Linked DNA regions of Sus scrofa. The main gene of each other region encodes a partner of the protein of the gene in region 2 in a complex. Links are inferred from orthologs where the notes say so. Each region holds a gene or a part of one and is shown on either strand. Other genes may lie near its edges. The genes, in order: ALKAL2 and ALK.

Region 1 (4,292 bases), about 23 Mb from region 2:
AGGCCTTGCGCCAGAATTCATTAACCAAGACCGTGAATGGAAGAACGCAGCCCATTCCAGGAGCTGATTAATCCCGGGGCGTGTAAATCACATTCCCGGGCACCAGCTGCTGCTGGAAGTCGCTCTCTTCTGCAGCGGTCCGGTCAGCCCAGGCCCCAACTGCAAGGTCAGCAGGGAGGAAGCCTTAGCAAGGCAAGTCTGGGTGCAGAAGGGGGGCAAGGTGCGGGGAGGGGGGCCCCTGTATGCTGTGCTGGCATGTTTGACGCGGGTGCATGCAGTCACTTACATGCAGGGATGGTGCAGTCTCGGGTGTTGTAGTAAAGTCTGTGGAAGTGTTTGCTGCACTTTGGGCTGAAATAAAGGGGACCTGGAAGGGGAAGAAGAAACAGCTGGTGAGGGCCCGCTGGATGCAAGGACCCGGGAAAAGGCGAAGGAATGAGGAGAAAATTCACCTGTAAGATGTTTCAGAAACTTGTCTTTCATCCTTAGATCTCGAGGAACAATTTCTGTTTGAGAGGAAATAAATTAATTATTGTATTGCCTGAAAGAAGCATTTTTTTTTTTCATGTGACCCAAAGCGAATGTTCAAAGGTACTGGAAACTGCTCTAAACACAGTAGTCCCTTGATTGCTATGTGTGACAACGTGAATTCTGGTGATCCAGGCACATTTTCTTCAAATAGCATTAACTACTCTCCAAGCTTCAGCATTATCTCCCGGGTCTCTGCCACTAGAATGGAGGCAGTGACCGTAAAGTTATAGGAAAAGAAAGGTAGCCGTGTGTGTGTGTGTGTGTGTGAGAGACAGTTACCTTCCAGTGAATGAATCACTTAGACACTTCATCTTGAAGAGCTTGGGAATCAAAACCCACAACCTCTCCATAGTTCTAGGAAGAAAACCTGATCGGATCCTTTAAACAAAAACTTTGCCATGAAACATCACTTCTTCCAGGTATATATTTAGAAAAAGGGTTAGATGCCATTTTTCAAGCCACCTGTTATGAAGGCTGGTGTGAATGCGTGGAGACAGACGGTGCCCTGGAGGATCAGGGGAGAGCACTTTCCTAGGGAAAGACCCCTGAAGGAGCACAGCTCCTCGTTTGTGTTGGCAACTACCTCGACTGACCTTTCTGATGTCAGCCGTGTTTTGGCTTTTGAAGTCATCTGGTTTTGTTTGCACTCACCTGTTCTGCGCTAGTGATGGGATGGCATATGCTCACATTTGCTACCAATTCCCATCTGAGGAGGGCACAGTTCCATCAAATCTTACTTGCACAGTTTGGACAACTCCTAAATGTCACTCTTCATTTGCAACTAACTTTAGTCGGTCTATATAAAATTGACCTTATCATATTTGACCTAATTGTGTCATCAAAGCATTAAGAGCTTGTACGCTTTCCTTGGAAATTTCCCAAGGGGCAGCCACTCTGGAAGGCTCCGCGATGGGGGCAGGGGTGGGATCTAAAACATTTCTGTCTCTCCGTTGAAACTGCTTTGCTGAAAATATCTCCGTTTGCAAAATAAGAGATGGCACTACTATGCTGAAATTATGGACCTAGGTAGCGACCCGCAGGTCTTAGACGTGGATGAGGGATAGTTACCTGTTATCTGCCGCCAGGCATCATTCATGGCCTTCCTATTTCCTTCTTTTAAAAAATATTTTCCAGTTTTTATAAACAGTCGAAACGTTTTTACAGCTCAAAAATACGTGTGTTCTCTCAAAGCCAACTCGATTCTCAAGCAAGCCCTGGGGACTCCTGAGACAGGACAGGCCGACGTGCTGGAGGCTCCGCCAGCACAGCCCACACCCCAGAAGCCTGTGGAAGGGGTCCTCCGTCCACGCGGCCGCTCGGGCGGCACACTCACCCACTCTCTGCTCCTCGGCGTAAGCGCCGTAGTCCGCGACCTCCCTGCGGCCCAGGCTGTCGTCCTGCCGGCCGGAGAGCTGCAGCCTCTTGGCCTCCCCCGAGTGGTACTTCCTGAGCTCCTGGACGATCTCCACGATGAGCCGCAGCAGGCTCTGCGGGTCCGCGGCCTCCCGGGGCTCCGCGACCCCCTGGCCGGGCCCCGCCGCCCCCAGCACGAGCAGCAGCCCCACGAGGAGGGGGCGCCCGGGTCCGCGCATCCTGCGCTCGGCGGGGCTGGGCGGATCCGACGCGCTCCGGAGCTCGGCTCCCTGGAGGGACAGGGGTGCGGGGAGACCCGGAAAGCCAGTCGGCGGCTGGCGGGGACGCCGGGGAGAGGCCACTCCCCTTGGACCGCGCGCCCCAGCCCCGCTGTCCCCGCGGCCCGCAGCGAATCCTGAGCCCTCCGCGGACCCCCAAGGACCGCGGCAGATCCCAAGGGCCCCCCGCGGACCTCCGCGAACCCCGAGGACCTCGGCGGACCCGGCGGAGGGGCGCCCTGCACGGTCCCCGGCCCGGGGGGAGGGGGCGGGAGCAGACGAGGGGCCGCTGAGCGCCCGGGCCGCGGTCTGCACGGGGACCCGCCGAGGCCCCACCGGTGATGCTGCGAGCGAGCCCCGGGTGCCGCCGCCCTCCGCGCGCCGGGCGGCACGGGCCTCGCCCTCGTCCCGCCCGCGTCCCGCCCCCGCCGCCGGGCCGCGGAACTTTCATGGCAATGGCGCAGCGGCCGCCGCTCGGCCGCGTGCGGCGCCCGCACAACTTTCCGTCACCTTGAGAAACCCGGGGGCGGCGGCCGTCCGGAGGGTCCGGCCCACAACCGCCTCCCTCGGAGAGACGGGCCGCGCGCCCCGCCCGGCAGCTGCGCCCAAGTTTCCAGCGGCGCCTTTGTGTGGCGGTCGCCCCCTCCTCCTGGTGTCCCCGAAGCCCGCCGACCAGCCCCCGCGCGGGGACCCTCGCTCCGGGGGGCCAGGGCGGGGAACACCCTCGGCCCTTGGGGAGGGGGCCGAGCCCGCCGCTGCAGGGCGCCAAGCCTGGGGCCACCTGTGCGCAGGAGCCGGGCCGGGTTACCTGTCCTCTCGCCCCGGAGCCGCGGGCGTCTCTTGTCGTCTGTCCCCGCGCCCCGGAGCCGCGCGCCCCGCTCGCTACTCCATGCCCGGGGCGCCGGCGCCGGCGGAGCGCCCTGGACGCGCGGGGACTGGCACCGGGACGCGGGGCCTCGACCGCGCCGAGCTGGGGACCCGCCGCCGCCTGAGTCGCGCCTCGGACCTCGGGGCGCCTCTTATCCCCGCGGCCGCCGACGTCAGGCGGGTCCCCGAGGGCCTGGCGCGGGGCTTTAATTAGAAGCCGCTGAAGTGTTCGTATCCCCGCGCGGATCTTCGTCAGACCCCCCCTTGGCCCCCCCAACTCCTCCCATGTCTCCCTACCCCGTCCCTCTCCCCTCTCCCACCCCCTCCATCTACCCCCCGCGTCCCCCCCATTTCCCCCCCTTCCCCGGCCCCCTCCCCGCGCCGTCTCCCCTCCCCCACCCCGTCGTTCCCCCTCCCCTCCCCCTTCCCCCTTGCCCCCTCCCCCTTCACCCCATCTCCCTCTCCCCCCTTTCTCCCTCCCCTTCGCCCCCCCCGCCCCGTTCTCTCCCTCAGTCTATTTCCCTCCGTTCCTGTCACTTGTGACAGGATGAGAAGAAACGCCTTTACCAGGAACTCGGATCTGTTTTTGTCTAAATGTAGATCTTGGGCTATTAAAAAAGGAGCTGCCTGATTGCCTCGACATTTAATAAGTCAATGGGAGTCTCTGCGTTCTGGAGGAGTCTGCAGGCGAGCCCGGGGGCCACGCTCAGGACCGCGGTCTGCTTCGCCCCAGGCCGGTCCCCCCAGGCGGCAGCCCAGAGGGCAGGGGCCGGCCAGCCCCCCGAGGGGACCCGCCGCGGCTCCCCGCCCGCGCCGTGCCCCCTCCCCCGCCCGGCATAAGGCCCTCGGTCGGCACCCTCAGCCCTCAGGTGCTCCGGCTGCCCTTCCCGGGAAAGGCCGGCGGGAGCCCTCCCCGGGCACCGCCCTCCCGGCCCCCGTCTTTCAGAAAGTTTTGGTTCTTCGGGTGTAGGCAGCACATTTGTGAGAGTTCGCCAATTCATCTCCTTTAATTTTTTTTCTTGTAAAATGTATTATCAATCAATGGCGCTCTTTCCCATTTTATTGGCGCTTTCTGGGCAAGAGCTGGACGGCCTCCAAGTTGGCGCTGTGATTGGGAAAGGTGTTCTGAGAACAATGCCCGAAAGGGAGCTCGGGGGCCGGAATTAAAAGCCTCGGCCATTAGCAGGGCGGCCGCATAGTGGATGGTGAGGTCGCTGCGGGCTGGGCTGGGCGGGTGGCCCTGAGGCCCCCAGGCAGGCCCCC
Region 2 (3,802 bases):
GGACGGGGAGGATGGGGTTTCTTTCATCAACCCACTGGGCATCCTGTACACCCCGGCTCTAAAAGGTACCCCTCTGCGAGGTGGCAGAACCAGCTTCCATAGGCCAGTTCTCCCTCCCAGCTCCCAGGGCAGCTTGGGAGTTCCTATCATGGCTCAGCAGAGATGAATCCGACCAGTAACCATGAGGACACAGGTTCAATCCCTGGCCTTGCTCAGTGGGTTAAGGATCCGGCGTTGCCGTGAGCTGTGGTGTAGGAGGCAGATATGGTTGGGATCTGGCACTGCTGTGGCTGTGGCATAGGCCAGCGGCTATAACTCTGATTTGACCCCTAGCCTGGGAACTTCCATATGCCTCAGGTGCAGCCCTAAAAAGCAGAAAAATCAATAAATAAAAATAAAACCTCAGGGCAGCTGATGTGAGGCCAGGTTACAAAGGTGTGATTGTGGGTCCCTTGCAGGCAAATCTTCCTAGTGCTTGCTCACCAGGTTTTCTGAAAATCAGGATGCATGATCTGATATGAACACGGAGGCAGAAGACTGACTCCCAGGCAGGCCGGCCCTAGAAAATGCAACAGTAATAGGCCCTGTGCCTGTAGCAGCCAACTTAAGGGTCCCTACAAATACGCACCCACATGCCCTCTGTCTGAGTTCCATCACCGGATGCACCAGGGACTTTCCTGCACAGGCAGTGCCTCCAGGGGCAGTGGGACATAGGAACAGGGACCAGGCGGAGACAAAGCACAGAGCCTGGGATAGGCTGCAGGGCAGCCTTCCCAGCCTCTGCCCAGGCTGACCCTCTCTCCTTGTCACCAGTGATGGAGGGCCATGGGGAAGTGAATATTAAGCATTACCTAAACTGCAGCCACTGTGAGGTCGATGAGTGCCACATGGACCCCGAGAGCCACAAGGTCATCTGCTTCTGTGACCATGGGACAGTGCTGGCTGAGGACGGTGTCTCCTGCATCGGTAAGGGGGTGAGGGAGGGGCCCCAGAGCTTAAGCCACAACTGGTTTCTGTGGTTCTGGGACATCTCGGATACAGTTTTATAAACTGCCTGACACCCCTGACTGCCCCAGCACGGGTGTTCTGAAGATGGACGGGGGACCCTCAGTAAAGGGTGGGCCATGACTCATGAAGGCATCGGAAGTCACCTGGTCCCACTCCCAGCCCAGGATGTGACTCCCACGTCCCCACCAAGGTGCCAGCCCTTCTTCCCTGGAACACCCCAGCGCCAGGGACCTCCACACTCGCAGGGCGCCCCGTCCTGTTGAGAAGCTGCAGCACCAGACCTGTCCCCTCCGACTTCTGCTCCTTGGCTCCCCCACTTGCAGCAGCCCTTCGGGTGCAGTGTCTGAAGACAGAGCCCCCTCCTCCTCCTCCTCAGGTCTTCCTCAGATTAAATAACCCGTTTTTTCAATCCATCCACATGGGACACAGGTCTCATGTCTCTCCCGACCCTGCCGTCCAGTTGTCAATGTCTCTTTGGAAATGCCGCCGGGTCGGGGACCGGGCGCGGTGCCTCCGTGTGGTAGGTGCCAGCGTGCTCCCAGGCCTCCCTCCCGCGCTGAGCCCCGCGCTCTGGAGGACAGGGACTCGATCCAGCCTCAGGAGTGACAGAGAGGCCCTCTCTCTCTCTCACTGGCTCATGTTGAGTCTCCTAAGGCACTACCTCTCTTCTGGAGCCTCTGCTGGCTCCCCTCGCATCCTCGTCCTGCCACGTGCACTTGATATTGATCAGCGTCCAGATTGTGGTTTTCGTTCCTGTTACAGACGCCCTCCCCGGAAAGTTACTGTCGAAAGTTGTAAAACCAGGACGAACCCACTTCGGGCCCTGGGCCTCTGAGAAGGGGGATGGTCAAGGTGTCCAGGCCGGGGAGGAGTGGGTGGCTTCTGTCCAGGCTGGGGAGGCGCTTTCTGACGTGGGACCAGCTCAGAGGAGAAGTAGGCTGGTCACCGGTGCCCCACGGGGACCTGTCTTCCAGTGTCGCCCACCCCGGAGCCCCAGCTGCCGCTCTCGCTGATTCTCTCCGTTGTGACCTCCGCCCTCGTGGCCGCCCTGGTCCTGGCCTTCTCCGGCGTCATGATCGGTGAGTGTACCGGAGCCCCGGCACTTCCAGGGTCTGCAGGAAGGCAGATCTGGCAGAATGGAACAGCACCTCTGGCTCGGCCAGGTGTCCCTCTGGGTGGGGGTTGAGGAGGGCCGCCCAGGCCAAACCAAAACAGAAGCCCCCCGCGCCACACCCCCCAGCACAGCTCTGGTTCCTCGCAGTCCCTGATTCTGCACCTCAGCCCCGGGCCTCCAGACCTCCAGTGTCTGGTCCGCTGCTGCTTACAAAGATACCACTTCTCACTGGAAACATCCATTTTCTTCAAATTTCTAACACACTTTGGTCATCTTCAACGGAGATTAAAGAATCAAATTCTTGGCGTTCCCATCATGCCTCAGCAGTAACAAACCCGACTAGCATCCATGAGGACACAGGTTCCATCCCTGACCTCGCTCAGTGGGTTAAGGATCCGGTGTCGCCGTGAGCTGTGGTGTTGTCACAGACACATCTCGGATCCCACATGGCTAAGGTGTAGGCCAGCAGCTGCAATTCCTATTCGATTCCTAGCCTGGGACCTTCCATATGCCAAGGGTGGGGCTCTAAAAAGACCAAAAAGAAAAAAGGTCAAATTCTTCATGCCAAGAAGGAGGGCACTCTTCGGAGGAGAGCATCATGACCAAAGCTCGCCCCCTCCCCAGGCCTCACTGTGGCTCTTCAGGTTTGGCTCGCTCCCTGCGTCCTGCGTCCCGCCCACCCTCCCCCACCCCCGAACCCCGAAGAGAATGCAGAACTGGTTTTTGAGTGTTTTCTCTGAGGTCTGTGAGCCAAGCAGTGCTGATTTGCGGGTCTCAGAGGGCTCAGGATGGTCCAGCCAGGCTCTTACTGCTAGAGATGCTGGGGCAGGTGGGCAGGGAGCCGAAGGGAGGCAGAAGAAAAGGCTCAGTTCCAGGCAGCACTTTCAGGCCAGCCCCTTGGGGGAGGGACTCTGGGGGTGGCCAGGGAGCCTGTGTGAGTCCCATGACGCCCCCCTTCCAAACGCAGGATGACCAGAGCTAACGTGTTATGCACTCACTACACAGTTTAGTTCCCTGAATCCTCAGAGGCCCCTGTGATCACGGTTGGCACTTTTCATAGAGGAGGACCTGAGGGCACAGGAGTTGCCTCCCTTGCCCTGGCCTGGAAGTGGTGGGCTGAGCTTTAAACACAGAATCTGCCCCCTCCCCATGAATCATCTTCCTTGGAGTTGGCCTGATGGAATGTTCTCGCACATGGAGATAGCAGTGATTGTGGTCACTTGCATTGGGACAGCTCTTTAGAACTCCCCCAAACCATTTTATGTTGATGAATTCATTTCATTATTACAATCCTGGCTGATGGGGCGTGGGGGGGTTACCTCCCTCCTTACGGAGAAGGGGACAGATCCAAAGAGGTCGCAGGTCACTCATCAGTGTCACAGCTTATAAGTAACAAAGGCAGGATTAGAACACAAGTCCTCGGGCACCAGTTTAGAGATCTTTCATCCGTGGCTGTTCTCCAACTATATGGTTTGGTGATTCTTCAACTGTAGGAAACCCAGGTGACCCAGAGCCCACATGGCCCACTGCCATGTCTGTCCCCACCCAGCACCTGGGCAGAGCAGAGATACTAAGGCAGGCTGGTTCCTGGAGACACGGGACCTCTCTGATGGCTGACTTTGGCCCCTAAACTTCCCGGCAGTCATGGGGGAACGTCTTTAGGGTCTTTGCTCCACCTTC

What was found.
Region 1: the proteins of ALK (region 2) and ALKAL2 are in contact, whole or in part, in a cryo-EM structure (PDB 9G5I), measured with the Homo sapiens proteins. The link is inferred for Sus scrofa from reciprocal best matches to the Homo sapiens genes ALK and ALKAL2. Residues at the interface, in NP_004295.2 of Homo sapiens: Leu684, Tyr739, His755, Ser758, Leu760, Phe856, His857, Glu859, Leu965, Tyr966, Thr967, Pro968, Leu970, Lys971, Val972, Met973, Glu974, Glu978, Asn980, Val992, Glu994, Cys995, His996, Met997, Phe1007, Asp1009; in NP_001002919.2 of Homo sapiens: Ser112, Lys113, His114, His116, Arg117, Leu118, His120, Asn121, Thr122, Arg123, Asp124, Arg133, Arg136, Leu137, Arg140, Leu141.

Annotation. Positions count from the first base shown.
Region 1 is NC_010445.4:132,659,913-132,664,204, reverse strand, and holds the start of ALKAL2 (protein FAM150B), read right to left. Parts: upstream 3,053-4,292; 5' UTR 2,971-3,052; intron 2,574-2,970; exon of another isoform or gene 2,175-2,573; 5' UTR 2,124-2,174; coding exon 1,865-2,123; intron 507-1,864; coding exon 453-506; intron 368-452; coding exon 287-367; intron 1-286. UniProt on the Homo sapiens protein: Cytokine that acts as a physiological ligand for receptor tyrosine kinases LTK and ALK, leading to their activation. Cytokine-binding is sufficient to activate LTK. In contrast, ALKAL2-driven activation of ALK is coupled with heparin-binding to ALK.
Region 2 is NC_010445.4:110,068,477-110,072,278, forward strand, and holds part of ALK (ALK tyrosine kinase receptor), read left to right. Parts: coding exon 1-65; intron 66-813; coding exon 814-966; intron 967-1,982; coding exon 1,983-2,087; intron 2,088-3,802. UniProt on the Homo sapiens protein: Neuronal receptor tyrosine kinase that is essentially and transiently expressed in specific regions of the central and peripheral nervous systems and plays an important role in the genesis and differentiation of the nervous system.